Danio rerio: one gene and its partners. The protein of the gene in region 2 binds, or shares a complex with, the protein of the main gene of each other region. Links are inferred from orthologs where the notes say so. Each region holds a gene or a part of one and is shown on either strand. Other genes may lie near its edges.

Region 1 (6,216 bases), on a different chromosome or scaffold from region 2:
ACGTCACCAATGTCCTCATATTTCACCCCCTTTTTGTAATATCATACCCATGTCATTATACAGATTTGTGTCCTGATATGTCACAAAAACATGTACACACATACACACACACACACAAACCAGATTACTGGCATGCACTTAACAGGTATGCAAGCCAAGCAGTTTACTAAAATGAGCAATAAAAGTCTGTTATTGATACTCTGCTGGCTGATTTGCATGTTGATTTTAATCGCGAGCTGTTTATGTTTTATTTAGTGTGTTGTATTTAACCCAGTTTGTGTCATTTCAAAATGTCACTTTATTTTCATTTTGTCACAGATATTAAATCAGTGTGTTAGTGGAAGAGTACAGGCTACGTGTGTGTGTGTGTGTCAAACATTTTGGTGAATTACATTTGTTTGGGATGGTTATATATTTGAAAGAAAGAGAAAATGTTGACTTTAGCGATGACGAAGCTTCATTTCAATGGCACAGGATGGCTTCTGAAAACGAGGGGAAAACGCCTCACAGTAGTTGTTTTCCATCCTATTAGATCGCATTTTTTAAAATCTCGAAGTTGGCGCTGATCGACAACAGGATTAGTTCCAAGATGATAAAAGCAGGGAAAATAGGTAAAGTCTAGATCAGATATGCGGCCGGCCGGAAGTGTGATATGCACATTAATATAGCAGCATTTTTTTATGACGCTGTATAACAATAATTAATATTTTTATTTTATTAATATTTTTACTGTCACGGTTAGGTTTAGGGTTGGGGTAGGCGTTAAAAAATACAATTTATTGGGTAATTTAATAGATACCATAAATAATACTCTGTACATCTACTGTTTTTACATTACTGGGATGGTTGGGTTTAGGGTTGGGGTGGGGGTAGACGTTAATAAAATACAATAAGTGGGAAATTTAATAAATAATATAATTAATTCTTGTTAACTTCCGGCCGCAAACGTATCCGATCTAGCAACAACTGGTAAAATAGATTAAAACTATCATTTCAAAGCTGTCCAACTGACTGTTTATATGCATCAGCTGCCGACCGGAAGTTCTAAGCATTCTCCTTGAGCATACATGCAAAGCATAATGGGTAACTTTGCTTTCTAAGAAAAAAAGGTCTATACTGAAATAAAACGTCTCAGAAATCTCCATTACCTTGGCGAGAGAGACAACATGACAAATACCGTTTAAAACTAGTAACATTTTTGAAATACATATTTTTATTTTTTTCCCAGAGATGGGTTGCGGCTGGAAGGGCATCCGCTGCGTAAAAAACTTGCTGGATAAGTTGGCGGTTCATTCCGCTGTGGCGACCCCGGATTAATAAAGGGACTAAGCCGAAAAGAAAATGAATGAATGAATGAATATTTTTATTTAAAGATTTTAATTAGCATTTCATCAATTACAAAAAAAGAAAACAATCATCAAAAATATTCCAAATAAATGCAGTCTTAACACCTATTCACCGAATTAAAAATCTCAGTCTGTAGGTCATGTTCTCTACATGAGTCTTTTGGGATCAATCTTCTCCAGGTGAACGAGAGGTTTGAGCTGTTCTGCGAAGCTCCTCATGTCCTCAGACACAGTGTCCTGTCCCGCAGGAGCCAGAACGCTCAGCTCAACAAGATACGACAGAGAGAGCGGCTCCGTGTTATCCGTGTTTCCAGGAACCAGCACACGCGACAGTTTGCTCACCACCACCTTCATCACACCCTTCCGGAACACCTGACCCTTGGCCACGAACTCATGGTCCATGCGGAAGCCCATCTCATTGAGGAAGTCAGGCAAGCTGTGCGAGGCTGCCACGTCCACGCAGTTCCGCACCAGGGCATGACGGCTTTTGTCGCCCACCTCGGGCTGACCCAGATAGCGCAGGTGCCAGGGGACGGAGGGGTCGAGGAGCGAGCGGCGGGCACGCAGGATGAACGGGTTGCCCTGCTGACCTTTCAGGAGATACACCAACTCGTGATCAGCAAAGCTCTCAGGCTCCATGTTATCACACAGGCCCCGGAGGCGATGCAAGAGACTCTCCAGAGATTGGTCCAGTACACTGCCTGTGCCAAACAAACCAACAGAACACAGCCAAGTCAAGATGGATAGATAGATAGGGGGTGGGATGGATGGATGCATAGATTAGGGGCATAAATAGATAGATAGATAGATAGATAGATAGATAGATAGATAGATAGATAGATAGATAGATAGATAGATAGATAGATAGATAGATAGATAGATGGATGGATGGATGGATGGATGGATGGATGGATGGATGGATGGATGGATGGATGGATGGATGGATGGATGGATGGATGGATGGATGGAAGATTAGATGGATGGACGGACGGACGGACGGACAGATAGATAGATAGATAGATAGATAGATAGATAGATAGATAGATAGATAGATAGATAGATAGATGGATAGATAGATGGATGGATGGATGGATGGATGGATGGATGGACGGATGGGGGATGGATGGATGGATGGATGGATGGATGGATGGATGGAGGGAGGGACGGATGGAGGGACGGACGGACAGACAGACAGACAGATAGACAGACGGACGGACAGACGGACAGACAGACAGACAGATAGGGGAATGGATGGATGGATAGATAGATAGATAGATAGATAGATAGATAGATAGATAGATAGATAGATAGATAGATAGATAGATAGATAGATAGATAGATAGATAGATAGACAGACAGAAAGACAGACAGAAAGACAGACAGAAAGACAGACAGAAAGACAGACGGACGGACGGACGGACAGATAGATAGATAAATGGATAGATAGGGGAATGGATGGATGGATAGATAGATAGATAGATAGATAGATAGATAGATAGATAGATAGATAGATAGATAGATAGATAGATAGATAGATAGATAGATAGATAGATAGATAGATAGATAATTTAAGCCTGTTCCTATACATCAATAAAAATAAAATTGTAATTGTGACTAATTTGTCTCAAGTAATGTCACAATTTCTCGCAATGTGGTGTCAATTTCTTAGTTAATGCTTAATAAGTCACTAAAAAAAAGATGTAATTGTTTTAATAAATTTAGTTATTAAATAATACATTTCAGTTGTATTTTTTTACTTACATTAACTTATTAACTGTAATAAATGTCGATATCCCTCACTGTGGCTTTTTGTTTTAATGTATGAACTAAGATTTACTAATGAGACCATATTTTGAAAGTGTTATTGATTATACTTTATGAATTAGCTGTATAATTTTGTTAAAAATGTATTTACTCCGAACACACACAAATCTGGTAACGGTTTAAGTAGGAATGGTAATATATGACCAAATAAGCAAACTATATTATGCAAACAATAAGACTCAGCAAAAAGAACTCTCGTGTAGCACAGTGCATGCTATAATTGTATAATTTAAATTATAACAATTGTAAATTATAATACTACAAACACTACAATGAATACATTGTATACATACTATTATTATGCTAAACTATTCGTTTTATATAACGTTAGCACATTCATAAAGTAATACTGTAGTACATGTTTTTATTATACAGAATCCCAAATTAAAAGTCTTAAGGAATTAAAGAAGATTAGGGTGCGTTAAATAAAAATAGTTTAAAACGCTAGAAAATGTGTGTGTATTGTTTATAATTACATATTCACTTTAACATATTCAACGCTTTATTCAAATGACTTTGCTAATTAAAAAATTGAGATTGCTCATAATGGGTATTTAAAAACTAAGTTAAAACTATTTAATAAAGTGTAACAAATGATAAATAGGAATGAATGAATGGTAAAAGGAGTTGTGCTGATGGTGTTGTTTACCTTGCAGAAGATACTCCATCATGTTTATAGTTCCACCCGTGACGGGCATCACAGTAACCGGCGGAGCCTCCATCACTCTATTATTATTACTATTACTAGTATTATAATTCTGAACTTAAGTCTCTTAATACATTTACAGTCAACGATCAGTTGAAAGATTAACTTAAACTAGAACTTTAACTGCTGTAGAAAACATCCACAACAATAGACATGCTAAGACGTGTTAGAAGATATTATCAACAAAAAGCAGGCAGACGATGAATTAAAAATAGCATATATTGTACTTGTATCAAAAAGCAATAAACAAAACTAATGATTTGCGTAAAATACTACGAAAAAATAATGTGTCTCGATGAAACTGCGTCCATGTGAGTAAAGCGCATGCGCAGTATGGATAGCGAGTACTGCGCATGCGCATTGTGCAACGCTTGCTCTATTCTTTTAGGCGTGCATTTAGTGACACCTACTGGACTGAAGTGAACTCTTTATCATATAAAATGGGTATTAAAATTGAGTATTATTAGCCTATTATTAATAGCAGGAGAACATCAATTATGGTTGCGAAAAGCCGATTGCCCTGTTGATCAAATTCAAGTCAAGGTGTTTGCTTGCAGAAAAACTAATGGCTCTAAGAGGTGGGTGTGATTTTGCCAATGCAATCATGGAGTGACATCTATCCTGGAACATGTCCTACATGAAGAAATAATTAGGCTATTCCTAAAATACAATATATTTTTTTTTATGGAGTAATGGAAATCACTATTTTAAAATGGAAAATTATGTGTAAACAAAAATGCAATGGTGGGTTATCGGTGTTCATTTTTTAAAACTTTAAACAATACATTCAAAATTAATTGGTTAATTAAATACAAGAAAGAAAAAGACAGTAAATGGTATACTTTTCCATATGGCGCAGTAGGTAATGCTGTCGCCTCACAGCAAGAAGGTTGTTGGTTCGAGCCTCGTCTGGGTCAGTTGGCGTTTTTGTTTGGATTTTGCATGTTGAATGTCCCTCCCTGTAGGGACTAAGCCAAAAAGAAAATGAACGAATGAATGAATGAATGAATGAATGAAGTTATATTTTGTGTCAAAATTTAGTCAATGAGGGAAGTTACTTTAAGTATATTATACGTTTCAGTGCACTGGCAGGACTTTTTTTATTAATATTGTTATTATTATCATCATCATCATCATCATTTATTATTATTATATTGTTATTTTATTATTTATTTTTTCTAGCATTTTCTTAGTTATGTGCATTTCTCATAAATACCTAGTTTTATAAGCTCACGTTAAGCATATTTTCCAAAAATTATATTGTTTTAATAATTGTTATTATTTCATATCATATTATTTCCAAATAGCTTAAACATGCATATTTACCATTTACATGCAGTACGTACGTATGAACCAATGGTATGAACCATGAACGCAAAGCAGTCGAGTAACTTTTATTGTGGAAAACATTAAATGCACTGTGACGTTTATTTTGAAAATAAATCGACATGTGGAGACCTTTATTTTGAAGTTTCGTGCCATCTTAGGGCTGCATGACATCGCTGGCTGTTGAAGATGAGCTCAACTGTAATGCTTCCTGTCGACATCTAATGAATGTAATTTACTATTATGTGTCTTTTACTTACGTTTGGATGCAGTAGTGTTTGTAATCGAGACAGTTATGGTGTTGTTACCAGCTCCAAAGGTGTGTCTCCGAGTGCTGTGTTTTTCTGTCAGTCCTTATTTATTTACACACATTATCAGTCTGACACCTTCAGATAGGCGAATAAATGCCTCAAACACATTAGATAAGTTGGTCTTTTAAAGATGTGTCGTTTTAAAGTTGTTCGTTCCTGTGCTGTTTGTCATAAACAGTGTTAAATGCTAACAGTAAGTTAGCCCAAGTTAGCAGAGCCAACGTTAGTGTTTTTATATTTAAATTTCCTCTTTTAAGTGTAAATGCTGCAGCCATTTTGAAAATGTTTGTTCTGTGACATTTAAAGCTTACATACAGCTTATAAAATGTATTTTGTTTGTGGCTAATTTATTTTTATAATTATTATAATTTTATTATTATTATTATTATTATTATTTGTATCACAATAGATTGCTCTTCAGAAAGTTTATAAATTATAGAATATTATTAACACAACGTTTTTTTTTTGGTAAAATCGTGTATTTGACTTTAGTGTAATTTGTTTAAGGCAAAACAAAAACAAGGTACTGTCAGGAAAACATTGATTGCTTAAGTTGACATGCTGTGTTTATTGTTAATTTAAAATAAAGGTTAAGATAATAAGTTAAACAAATTTTTGATAAATGTCTCAAAATGTTTGTCAGCCAGAAATCAAATTTTCTGAAATATTTTTGTGTTCAATCATTTACATTTTACATTTAGTC
Region 2 (6,669 bases):
GGGAATTCACATACTGTACCTTTTCAACATGCAGGGCGAGTTTGACTCCATTGTGTAACCATGAAAGTGCTACAATAGGGTCTCCGTCCACTGAGCTGCTCTGTGCGCACTCCCAGCTGTTCACCAGGTGCTCTGTCATGCCCCAACACTTGATCTGACCATCACCATCAGCAGACAACAACCTCGAACCTAGCAAACCACACAAGAGGTAGGGTTGAGCAATGTCGACCAATTTGGCATCATACAATGTCTAATGTAAACCATCGCGATGGACGATGGCATATGACGGTATGTCTGAATATCAAGTTTAACAACTATAATGAGACGCAATCCAGTGGTACACCCTTGATAAACTGTCAAACATGCACGACTCTCTGTCTCTGGAACTCAGAGGAGCGCATGACAGTGTGTGGCTCTGAAGTGAGCACCACTTGCGTCTGTGAATGTCTGTCTGTTTCTGTCTGTATGTGTGTGTTTGTGTGTGGTCACGTGATGTGCGTTTTCAGCGGACGGAGGGCTGTTCAGAAATGCTAGGTAAAACACGATGGAGATGTGGATCATTTCGTTCTAAAATGCCATCTTTACACTAAGACGTCTTTGTGCAAACGGGGCCTGAGTGTGTATTTTTTGCGTGAGGGTTTGTGATGGGGCGGAGGATCAGCGATGCAAGCTCAGCATTGTGTTGTCTATTGGCCATCGAAGATGGACGATGGCATCGACTATCGGCCCAACCCTAACAAGAGGCAAACATTATTGACTTATTTGAACAAATACATTGATTAGGGATGCTCATTTCGGTTAATTTTGCCAATCGAAATCTGCCACTCATTAACTGAATATTAACTGCTAACTGGTCAGATTAATATTAAACTACTATTTAATTTAAAACAAAGCAATTGACGTGTCTATTTTGTGTCCGACACATTTAATATTGCATTTTAAAATACTGATTTATTTTAACATGCAAACATAATAACAACCGCATTTAATTAATGCTCCGCTACATTTTTTAGCAATCAGCATCAGTGCTGCTTTGGCATCGACTTGTCTGTGTCAAACTGTGACCAGCATCATCCTTCTTTCATTTTGCTTTTTTGGCAAAATATGTCTGTGGGCACATGTAGTTGCACATGTTACTGTCTCACGAATAAGCAAATATGTGTTGCACATTTATGCAGCCAAACTTAAATAAAATAAAAACAATACATTTTTAATCATTTAACTGATACCAATAATAGATTAAAATGCACCTTTTAAGACAGGGATGCCCAAACTCTATCCTGGAGGGCCGGTGTCCTGCAAAGTTTAGTTCCAACCCAATCAGACACACCTGGGCTATCTAATCAAGCTTTTTAAAGGCTTTCTATAAACATCTATGCAGGTGTGTTGAGGCAAGTTGGAGCTAAAATCTAGTGGTGGGCAAAGCGAGGCTTCATGAAACACTGAAACAAACAGTCGAAGCAAATGTGTCGAAGCTTCGAAATGTTTTGAAACCCCACTCTACGGTGACCACCTAGTGGTCATTTTTATGTATTGCACTGAAACAGCTTCAGCAAGAACATTTTAGCAAATTGAGGTATTACACCCCACTTTGTAAAAGTATCTATTCAAGAGATTTAGTGGAGCGGTTAAGGTTTCTGACTTCCATGTGGGGATATTGAGTTTGAATCCAGGCTGATACGGCTTTTTTGAAATGCTTTAATACCAGTTGGTAATGCTTTGTTCTTGTTTCGTTTTGTTTCAACATTGGTCTGACATCCGAATAAACACTTTGTAAATAAATATGTCTTGTTTTGGTATTAAAACAGAGTTGTTGCTAGATCAGACACAGTTGTGGCCAGAAGGTATCAAGAATTATTTATATTATTTATTAAATTTCCCATTTATTGTATTTCATTAACGTCTATCCAAACCCTAAACCCAACCATCACAGTACTGTAAAAATATTTATTATTGTTTTAGTGTTACAAAAATGATGCTATATTGATGGCGTATCCTCAGCTTTAATCTATTTAGGCTACACCATAAAACAGAAACATGATTAAAATACATAAAACCATGATTTAGGTGTATTTGTACAAGTCGGGATTCAAACCCAAAAGTCATTGGAAGTATAAAAACAGCGTGTACAGGCACAGTCCACCAGGCCATATGAGACAGATTTTGAAACTGACGCCGGCAGTTACATCCAGATTCGCAAGGTCTCGAAACACTTCTTAACTGATTGTTGCTTTGAATCATTTTAGTCACGTGTCCAGGTGTTTTGAAACACTTTAGTCACGTGAATTGGGTGTTTCGGATCATGCTTCGGTGCAGTGTTTCGAAACACTTGTGCTTCGGGATCTCGAAACTGTGTCGAAACGTCAGTTTCACGTCAGCCATCCCTACTAAAATCTGCAGGACACCGGCTCTCCAGAACTGAGTTTGGGCACCCCTGCTTTAAGTTAACGGGTTAATCAGTTATTAGGAGTATCCCTAAAACTGATTTTATAAACAACTTAATTAATAAATGTTTTATGAATATTAAATAAAAATGAATATACCTTTTTTATTATTATTTTTCTTCATACTTTGATTTGGCTTTTTTGCTTCATATTAAATTTAGCAATTGTATTATTTGCACTACTGTTTTCATTTGTTATAATATAAAGTATAATTTTTTTATTTGCCTTTTTGATTTACTTTTATTTTAATAAATTATATATATTTTTTCTGTTCTGTTACTTGCTAAAGCAACATTTGTAATTTTCATTTAATACAAGTTTTTTCTTTATTATCAGATTTTTTAAATAGTTTTAGTATTTGATAATGGTAAAAACCCTGATTTGGAAAAGTATTTAGGTTTTACATTGAAACGCGTCTCTCTTCAAATGTTTTTAACACTCTAAAATGATTCAAATGTCAATTATAAAATAATTATATTATTACAAAAAATCTATAATAAAAATAAATATTATATTAGATTTTATTATTCTGTATCTAATCTGTACTGATTTAAGACCATCGCAGTACATTAATCGAGTAAAATTAGGCTTACCCTTACAATACTGAGACTACCCACCTAAAATAAATGGAAACTTTACTTCTAAAAAAAACTTGTCAAATATGATCTGCACATATTGCCAAATGTTTAGCCCATTTCATCTTTATCATCATGATGACTGACCAGACTGATCCCATTCTAGGCAGGAAATTATCTCATTGTGACCAGAATTGATGGAGTACACATCCCAGGGGTGATCAGTGTCAATGATGTGTATCATATGACTGAGATCTGCAACAGAAAAAAAAAACATGATTGTTGTTGCTGATATAATGCTTGATCATAAATAAACACCATTGTTCTATGTATTTTGGATCCAAAACGAATTGAAAATGTATGTTGTTTCTTGTCCTCCATTCATAACTCACCAACAGGAGTGGTAATATTGGTAATAAAGGCATTGTCCAGACCTTTGTCATCCTCCTCATTCTTCAGGTCAGTGGTGAAAGCGATGAGGTTTCTACATGACCAGGCGCACACCAGAGGGATTGAAGGACAGTGGTTGCTCTTGGGTCTCTTCTCCCACTCGCAAACATATGCGATATCCATCATATAATGAAGGAAACTTACTGTTTACAGCACAGATGCCCCAAATGAACACCTTTGAATGTGTTCACAATCACTACGGGAGACAACAAAAGCAAACACCGCTACTGTACAGAAACAGAAGAAAATGATGGGTATGGCAGACTCAAAACTACATGCTCCTGCTAATAAGTCCGAACATAAATTAATTTGTTAATAATATAAATTGTTCTGGCGTTTCAAATCTATTCTAATTCAGCAAATAGCACTTTGAAGCTGCACATCACATCATTGAGCGCCTGTATTCGTCGACTCTTTCCGGATTCAAAGACTCATCTAATACTTACCACCCCCTATTGGGCTGGAGCTCCGATCTATTTCTGTATTTGTCTATCTACGTTACTTTTGAAGCATAAAAGCGTTAACAAAAATGTTTACTCATGCATGGTTATGCATTATTTATTAACAAAAGGCTTTTTTGTTCCTATGCTTTTATGTATGTATGTATGTATGTATGTATGTATGTATGTATGTATGTATGTATGTATGTATGTATGTATGTATGTATGTATCTATGTATGTATGTATGTATGTATGTATGTACGCTATTTATATATTATTTTTCTCTTTTTTTATATAAACGTTTTATTTTTGTTTATACATTTTTATAATTTAATTTATATGTTTAAGTTAACCTTTTAAGTCTCTCTCTCTGTGTGTGTGTGTGTGTGTATGTGTGTGTGTGTGTGTGTGCGTGCGTGCGTGCGTGCGTGCGTGCGTGTGTGTGTGTGTGTGTGTGTCTCAGAAAGGGTTTGACGTACAGAGCTAATAATGTGCCAAAACAATCACAATTTGAATTGTATTCATTTGAATTATTAACAATTTTAATTTTAAAAATCAGATTTTTTTATGACATTAAAAATCTTTTAAATTTGATTTTCTTCATTTGAATTTGAATTTCATAACTTGAGTATTGAACATCTGAAATGCAAGAACTTTTCAAGCCTGATTTGTTTGTGTTCTGAGTTCATAGACTGTAGATATTAAGTTTGTGAAAATACAGTTTCAAATTTTCAAGATGAAGAAATTTAGAACATCCAAATCAATATCATAAAATTCAAAACCAGAAATTCAGATTGTGAAATTCAGGGCTGGAAATATATATATATATATATATATATATATATATATATATATATATATATATATATATATATATATATATATATATATATATATATCTATATATATATATATATATATATATATATATATATATATATATATATATATATATATATATATATATATATATGGTCTAAATAACGAATGTGAATGAACAATTCAGTGACAAAGAGAGATTTAGCGCCACCCATTGGACATTTTGATTTCAATGCATTTCAGTCAAAAAATAGCCTACTGTAATATTTTAACACAAAAAATCAAACGTTTGAGAATATGTCTATAAAAAATTCCGCCTTGAAAAATTCAGTTGTCTTACATTTCAATATTCAAGTTAGAAAATTCAAACTAAGAAATTCAAAACAATTTTTAACGGCATATAAAAATTCAGATTTATTAAATTACAATTGTCTAATTCAAATTAACACAATTCAAATTTAGATTGTTTTGCTTATTATTATTTCCATAATACGCACATCAAATGAAAACATGGCAATATTTACAGCTAACAGCTTATCATTTTTCAGTAAAGCAACTCATTCATTCATTTTCTTTTCAGCTTAGTCCCTTTATTAATATGGTGTTTGCCACAGCGGAATGAACCGCCAACTCATTCAGCATATGTTTTACGCAGCGGATGCCCTTCCAGCCGCAACCCATCCCTGGGAAAGTAAAGCTTAAATTCTGATTCAAAATCACAAATAATGACTTGAGGCGACATGGTGGCTCAGTGGTTAGCAGCACTGAGATCTCACAGCAAGAAGTTCACTGGTTCGAGTCCCTGTTGGTTCAGTTGGCATTTGTGTGTGGAGTTTGCATGTTATCCCCGGGTTTCCTTCAGGTGCTCCGGTTTCCGGTTTCAAAGAAGTGGTAGGTATAGGTGAATTGAATGTATGTGTGAATGAGACTGTATGGATGTTCCCCAGTACTGGATGGGTTGGTTGCAGCTGGAAAGATATTCTCTGTGTAGAACATATGCTGGATAAGTTGGCGGTTCATTCCGCTGTGGTGACCGCAGAGAAAATGAATAAAATAATGGCTTGTATTTGAAATTATTTGTACTAAACTTTCCAAACAGAATGAATACATTGAGCAAATATATTTGTAAATTATGTATAGTAAAAATTCAATTAAAACATTTGCAAACAAAGTTGAACTACAAATAATATTGTCTCTAATAAAATAGCAGAAATCTAAACAATCCTCATGAAAAATATGCTTATTTCGTATTTTGAGGTCATCCCCACCGCAATCAAGCGCTATGCATGTTTATCTTTACTTACTTCTACTGCGTGACTTGTACCATAGATGCTGTACTAAATAGCCTTTCCACTCTATTATGACGTGACGCAATAATAAATTAATACGATTTGGAGAAACCAGAAACAACAATAAACGCATGATATTTATGTTATATGTTTATATATTTATTTATTCGTTCATTCATTAATTTTGTTGTTGTGGAATCCTTTAGACTTTTGAGTAAAAAAAACAGATCCCTTGGCCAAATCACGTGACTTACCACGGAAGCAAAACCAGAGTGGAACTGCTTCCCTCATTAAAAGCTTCCTGACTGCTGCTCCCAAGTCCGCTCCGCTTCAGAAAATGGTTGTGTAAACAGATGATTCGTAAAACAGCTTACAGTTGCTGCCATCGGGTGGTTCTGGTGGGACATCATCAAGTATCTGATGTCTTGTTTTATTGAAGAGTGTCAGCGTTATGTGAGAAGGCGTTTGTCAAAAAGTAAACCGAACATACGGGTTCTTCACTGGAAGCTCGGCTAACTTGTTAGCTTGTGACTATTAGCAGACTACGCTATATGTGCTGTTTGAATTTTCATTCATTTTTAAAGTTCAGCTAGACTGTCTAGGTAAGATTTAACTTCCATACAAAATATTGTTATTTAGTCTAGTGTCTGA
Region 3 (6,344 bases), on a different chromosome or scaffold from region 2:
AAATGTTATGTAAAATGGCATTCAGACTCACATTATTTAACACTGAATAAAGCACATGAAGTGTACCTGAGCTGATCAGTTTTCTGTTGTTCAGCTGCAAAAAATAGAAGCCATTTCTAAAATATCAATTCAAGGTGTTAGTTAGGACAAAAACTCCTTTTAGTATGGAAAATATTCTTTCTATCACGTGCGGCTGCTTTGATTAAGCTCGATCGTCAGACTCTCTCACGTTTGTTTTAATCCAGGAATGTAATACTTAGTTCAACCACTAGGTGTCAAACTTACATACCGCACCTTATTATATCATGCATTATACTGACTATGCATGGTTTGATTACAAGCAAATGCTAAATATTATATTATTTTAAAATCATACTGACATACAGACATAACAGATAAACCAAGAAGCTAAGTGTAAACTCACATCCCGGATGATCTGGACCAGACTGTCTGCGGTGCAGCCCGTATAGCTGACACTCTCCACAGCTGGCAGCAAGTATGGAGGAGAATTACAGAGCAGTACACACACCTTGTGGGTCTGACCACTACATAGAGAAACAAAAGAATCAAAGAATCACCAGTGATAATAGGAAAATTGTCTCCAGTAGGTCATTTCAGCATCAATATTGAGATTACAGTTGACCACATTACAGTTCAGTACAGAATATACAGCTCAGAGCATTGTGGAGTCATTGCAAAGTTTAACCTTAGAATGAAAGTTTTCACTCAGTGAAATTAATTCATTAAGGAACAAGAAATTATAACTTTTGTTGCCAAAATATTACTTAATATAACATTTACACATTTAAAACTATACATTTTAGTTGTTTAACAATAACAGTTGATTATTCAATTCATGTACCCGGCTCTTTTAGACTCTCTAGAAAACCATAAAGCACTGTTTTTCCCTTTGTATACTTTGCTCTGAGGTTTTTAGCTATGCTTATATTTTTATATAATATTTTAAAGATAGATACGCTCGCTTACAATGAGAATCTCTTTAAAAAAAAGAGCTATTTAAGTATCAGTTGTACTTATAAATCAATGAATAATCACAGAAAAACACATTATCGCAATTTCAGTTTTTCCCATTATCATACAGCCCTAATGTGAACATCACTTTTTTTGATATCAATTTTAGTTTGATATATTATACAGCCCTAGTCTTCAGCATTTTACTGATAATGTAGTGCACATGATGATGGCATCCCTTAAAAATGCAGTGTCATTAGTTTTGTTGTACTGGAAAGAACTCTGCACAAATTAATGTAGACTGATAAACTATTATATTTTTAACTATATGATATTCACGACTATGTAAGTCTTATGATCCCTTCTTTGCTAATAAAGGACTATAGGGACATTCTAAGCACAGAATGAGTCATCTGGGTGAGGTAGAGTTCCTTCACATCTCACATCTCCAATACTTTGCTTTCCACCAAACACAATTTATCTACTTGTGATCTCCTTTTATGTCATTCTGTCACATTAAGTGTCATTTGATGTTTTCTAATGAATGATTAATCTACTAATGTTTAGTTATGACCCGAGGATAATATTGCATACTTTATAATGCATATTTACATCTCCCCCTCTTTATCTCCTCACATTTCAGCTGGTTTTGGGGAATGGTATTTCACTCATGCCTAGAAATGTATCTGTTGTTCTCTGTCTTTGCTGCATAGCAGAGCAAAAATCAAAACTAAGCTTTTTTGTATACATTATGTTTAGGGTAGCATATCATATTGTTTGAGCATCAATATCACAGTGTGTGTGTCCGCAACAGTCAAATTGCAGGATTAAATTATTTATTAAAGAGTTAAAGATAAATTATTAAATATTATTTTTTAATAATTATTGAAATGATGACCATGTTATTTTATGCTTGATTGTTCAATTTCTGTACCTGAAATACTGTTAAACTTTCCAGAAAATTACAAAGTATGGTTTATTTAACTTTTTTTCTGGCTCTATTGTGTGTGTGTGTGTGTGTGTGTGTGTGTGTGTGTGTGTGTGTGTGTGTGTGTGTGTGTGTGTGTGTGTATATATATATATATATATATACACACACACACACAAAGAGTTTAGAAACAAAAACCTCTAAATACTGTCTGAAATTGTCCTCTAAAATGTGCATTTTTAATCAGGCTCCTGTGTGTATGTTCAGTAATACCAATTTTATGGCAAAGAACAAGACCTTTTCTTGGTCTTTAAAGTGAAATATCTCAACATAAACAAAGAAAGCTGAAAAAAAAAATTCAAACTTTTGATAAACATTTCAGACGGCACTCAGAGGTTTTTCCATCTGAATATATATAAAATAATTTATGTATATGCAGTGCATAGAAAAAGACCTGATCATCATATTATCTAAATGAATAAAATCTTTCTAAATAGAGCTATTCAATTCACCTGGTGAAATTGTACTCTTATCGCTATATATATTACAGAAAACAAAAAATATTGCAATGTCTCATATTTTCAATATTGTGCAGCCCTAATAATGTTGATATATTTCATTCTACTGTCTGTATATTAAAACATGTAACTTAACATGAAATGTTCTTTCTTTTACAGCTTTAAGATTATCTCTCTTTATCAGTGATGTTAATAACTTTAACAGTGTTTGATTAATTATGGTGGAGTCAGACAAATAATTGATTATTACACACCATCCTTCAACTGCTTTCTGTTCTGATAATCTTTATAAATAGTGCTGTGTTCAAAGATTTTTCTTGTATTTACATTTCAAAAAAAGTCATTTTAAAATACCTTAAGCAAGCTGATTAAACCCTCAAAAGCAGATTTGTGATTTCATAGAACAAGTTCAAGAACTCACATTTGCTCCCTCATCTTTTTGAAGTCGTCAAAGAGCTGCAGGGCCACAGAAAGACCCTCAGCTATAAGACTGCAGCTCTCTGCTCCACCTCCCATGAACCTGTGCAACAACAAAAAAAAACTGTTAAAACTGTTCTCAGTATTTCAATCACAATATCTTTAAAGCAGACATTCACTTAAAACCTTTATCCCAGACTTCCTGACATAAAATAGGATTACAATGGGATTCCTTACTGAATGCTGTCAATCCAAGACACAAACTCGAAGGCAGAGCTGGTTGGAGCATGGCACTGGACATATGACTCTGGAGCACAATCCACTGTGTTGAATACCACCAGTCCATACTGAGTGCCACCATACTTATAAAACAAACAAGATCATCAGAATTGAGATGGCAGAAATGTAAAGAGAAGGTATAAACAGACTCCTCCAACTCACATCTCCTCCAAAATCAGTTTCAGCCGGTGGTCCTCCATTAAAATACCTGTAAATATATTAAATAAGTCAGTTCAAGTGTCTAACAAATGTACTGTATTGTAATGAATGTCATAAATCTTACTCTATAGTAGGCAGTATGTAATTATTCCGAAGTGATTCAAAATATGGACCAAGGTTTGCAGTTCCTTCAATGACAAACACCACATCTGACACCTGATTCAACCCAGATTTGGACGTGGGGTCCATATGGGTCACCTTTGGTCTACAGCCAACACAGATATAAGATCAAACTCATATAGAAGATTTGCTGGAATAAAACGAAATATTAATGTTTTATAATGTTTTATTGATGAATGACTTTATATTGGTGTTATTTGCTATTATTTTAACATTATTTCCATTCTAAATGCAAGTAAACCAAACCAAGACATACATATTTGGCTGTCTTAATACCTAACGTTAGTAATACACATAAACAATTTTTTTTAACTGAATCATTCATTATGTCCGTGCCAAAAAGCCTAAGAGACTTATTTTAGATGTGATATATTTGTCTTATCATTACCTAATTAACGAGTAAATTCTTAAAAACACAATATCAATACAAATAAATTAAAATGTAAAACGTGAACACTATCCATTCATACAGGTCTTAGCATGCTAGCCGCTAACCTCAAATGCTAATTTAGCTCGGGTGTCTTACCTGCTAGAATTAGTAGAACTGGCTTTTACTGTGAATAAAACAAACCGGTTCAGTCATTTATCTTGATTATATCCGAACCAGCCCCTGGTAGTTTTATTGTGTATTAAAGCTTCATCTGAAAGTAAATGTAGAGCGTAATGACAACAAACATCGGGATTTTTGGCTCGGCAATCGACAGTACGGTCTGGTTTTAGATCTTGAAAGTGGACTGGGCTGGTGAATCGATTTATGAATGATCAATTTAGAAACCAACAGCAGCGACGTCCTTTTCAGTCGTCATTCTTTGTTATTATCATCCTTATTATAATCATTGTTATTTTTGCGGTTTAAACACGGACATAGCCATTGTATTGTTAGATAATAAAAAAATAAAATAAAATAAAGCTTAAGAAAGTAAGTGGCTTCGTCGATGATCATAACAAATTGCATCATCTTTATTATTATCAATGATTATCATTACAAATTATTGTTATTAATTATTATTATTATTATTTAAAAGTTTTCTGAAACAAAATGGGCATTTTAAGGAATATATTTAAAATTGCCTTAAATAAATTAATTATTTAAATGTTTTCAATGATGGTAAATAATTATAATCAATATTATTTTAAGGCATAATAATAAATACAATTATTATTAATTATTATTACCAATTATTATTATTGGTGATATATCATTGATATTATTCTTATCATTATTATCTATTATTATTATTATTGTAATTATCTAAAGGCTTATCTAAAATGACCATAATTATTTTAAGAAATAATAACAAGACTTTTTTATTGTTACCAATTTTCTTTATTATTGTTGTTGGTATTAATATTAACTATTATCATTAATTAGAATTACCATTTTTATTATTATTATTATCATGTATTCTTTTTCTTTTTCTTCTTCTTATTATTATTATCATGTTATCTTCTTCTTATTATTATTATTATTATTATTATTATTATATAAAAGTTTTTTAAGCAAAATGGGCATGATTCAGTTTAAAGAATCGGCCTATAATCAAAATCATATTAAATAAATTCATTATTTAAACGTTTTCAATAATAGTAAATAATTATAATTATTATTATTATTTTAAGGCATAAAAATAATAACAACAATTATTATTACCAATTATTATTATTGTTGGTATATCATTAATATTATTCTTATCATGATTAGTTATTATTATTTTTCATTCATTTATTTTCTTGTCGGCTTAGTCCCATTATTAATCTGGGGTCGCCACAGCGGAATGAACCGCCAACTTATCCAGCAAGTTTTTATGCAGCAGATGCCCTTCCAGCCACAACCCATCTCTGGAAAGATCCACACACACACACATTCACACACACACACACTACGGACAATTTAGCCTACCCAATTCACCTGTACCGCATGTCTTTGGACTGTGGGGGAAACCGGAGCACCCGGAAGAAACCCACGCGAACGCAGGGAGAACATGCAAACTCCACACAGAAACGCCAACTGAGCCGAGGGTTAAACCAGCGACCTTCTTGCTGTGAGGCAACAGCACTACCTACTGCGCCACTGCTTCGCCGCTATTATTTTTATAATTATCTAAAAGCTTTATGAAATAAAATGAGCATGATTCGGTTGAAAGAATATATTCAAAATAGTATTAAACAAATTCATCATTTAAACTTATTCAGTAATAATAATTATTATAATCATTGTTATGGGTGAGGCAGTGGCGCAGTAGGCAGTGTCGCCTCACAGCAAGAAGGTCGCTGGGTTGCTGGTTTGAACCTCGGCTCAGTTGGCGTTTCTGTGTGGAGTTTGCATGTTCTCCCTGCCTTCGAGTGGGTTTCCTCCAGGTGCTCCGGTTTCCCCCACAGTCCAAAGACATGTAGTACAGGTGAATTGGATAGGCTAAATTGTCCATAGTGTATGAGTGTGTGTGTGTGTGTGTGTGTGTGTGTGTGTGTGTGTGTGAATAAGTGTGTGAATGTTTCCCAGAGATGGGTTGTGGCTGGAAGGGCATCCGCTGTGTAAAAACTTGCTGGATAAGTTGGCGGTTCATTCCGCTGTGGCGACCCCGGAGTAATAAAGGGACTAAGCCGACAAGAAAATGAATGAATAAAATGAATGAATAATCATTGTTATTTTAAGAAAAAAACTTTTTTATTATTACCAATTATTGTTGTTATTGTTAGGAAGGATTGTTGTTATTTTTATTATTCATTAGGAAGGAATACATTATATTATTTAAACGTAATCATTAATATCAAATAATTCTAATCATTATTATTTTATGGAATAATAAAAACCCTTTTTTATTTATTATTACCAATTATTTTTTATTTATTACCATGTATTGTTTTTATAATTATATAAGGGTTTTCTGGAG

What was found. Proteins that work in one complex are often made in the same cells at the same time.
Region 1: med16 (region 2) and med18 share a complex: the UniProt entries of both Homo sapiens proteins name them as parts of the mediator complex. The link is inferred for Danio rerio from reciprocal best matches to the Homo sapiens genes MED16 and MED18.
Region 3: the proteins of med16 (region 2) and med25 are in contact, whole or in part, in a cryo-EM structure (PDB 7EMF), measured with the Homo sapiens proteins. The link is inferred for Danio rerio from reciprocal best matches to the Homo sapiens genes MED16 and MED25. Residues at the interface, in NP_005472.2 of Homo sapiens: Cys41, Arg42, Ser92, Ser94, His113, Arg161, Lys163, Phe171, Gly172, Gly173, Lys174, Pro195, Gly485, Tyr486, Ala516, Ala517, Gln520, Val521, Thr524, Arg525, Ile554, Ala555, Ser558, Lys561, Ser562, Leu563, Leu564, Arg565, Pro566, His567; in NP_112235.2 of Homo sapiens: Ala26, Asn27, Gly29, Pro30, Tyr31, Val74, Asp75, Cys76, Ala77, Pro78, Glu79, Val82, Cys84, His85, Pro87, Lys102, Phe103, Met104, Gly105, Gly106, Gly107, Gly108, Glu109, Thr120, Gln123, Leu124, Asp127, Phe128, Tyr151, Leu152.

Annotation. Positions count from the first base shown.
Region 1 is NC_133191.1:7,707,469-7,713,684, forward strand, and holds med18 (mediator of RNA polymerase II transcription subunit 18), read right to left. Parts: upstream 4,159-6,216; 5' UTR 3,893-4,158; coding exon 3,820-3,892; intron 2,048-3,819; coding exon 1,494-2,047; 3' UTR 1,347-1,493; downstream 1-1,346. UniProt on the Homo sapiens protein: Component of the Mediator complex, a coactivator involved in the regulated transcription of nearly all RNA polymerase II-dependent genes.
Region 2 is NC_133186.1:14,598,901-14,605,569, reverse strand, and holds the start of med16 (mediator of RNA polymerase II transcription subunit 16), read right to left. Parts: upstream 3,878-6,669; 5' UTR 3,596-3,877; coding exon 3,454-3,595; coding exon of another isoform or gene 3,412-3,453; intron 3,275-3,411; coding exon 3,167-3,274; intron 190-3,166; coding exon 20-189; intron 1-19. UniProt on the Homo sapiens protein: Component of the Mediator complex, a coactivator involved in the regulated transcription of nearly all RNA polymerase II-dependent genes.
Region 3 is NC_133178.1:29,271,352-29,277,695, forward strand, and holds the start of med25 (mediator of RNA polymerase II transcription subunit 25), read right to left. Parts: upstream 4,159-6,344; 5' UTR 3,980-4,158; intron 3,584-3,979; 5' UTR 3,523-3,583; coding exon 3,398-3,522; intron 3,323-3,397; coding exon 3,277-3,322; intron 3,198-3,276; coding exon 3,073-3,197; intron 2,939-3,072; coding exon 2,840-2,938; intron 546-2,839; coding exon 425-545; intron 1-424. UniProt on the Homo sapiens protein: Component of the Mediator complex, a coactivator involved in the regulated transcription of nearly all RNA polymerase II-dependent genes.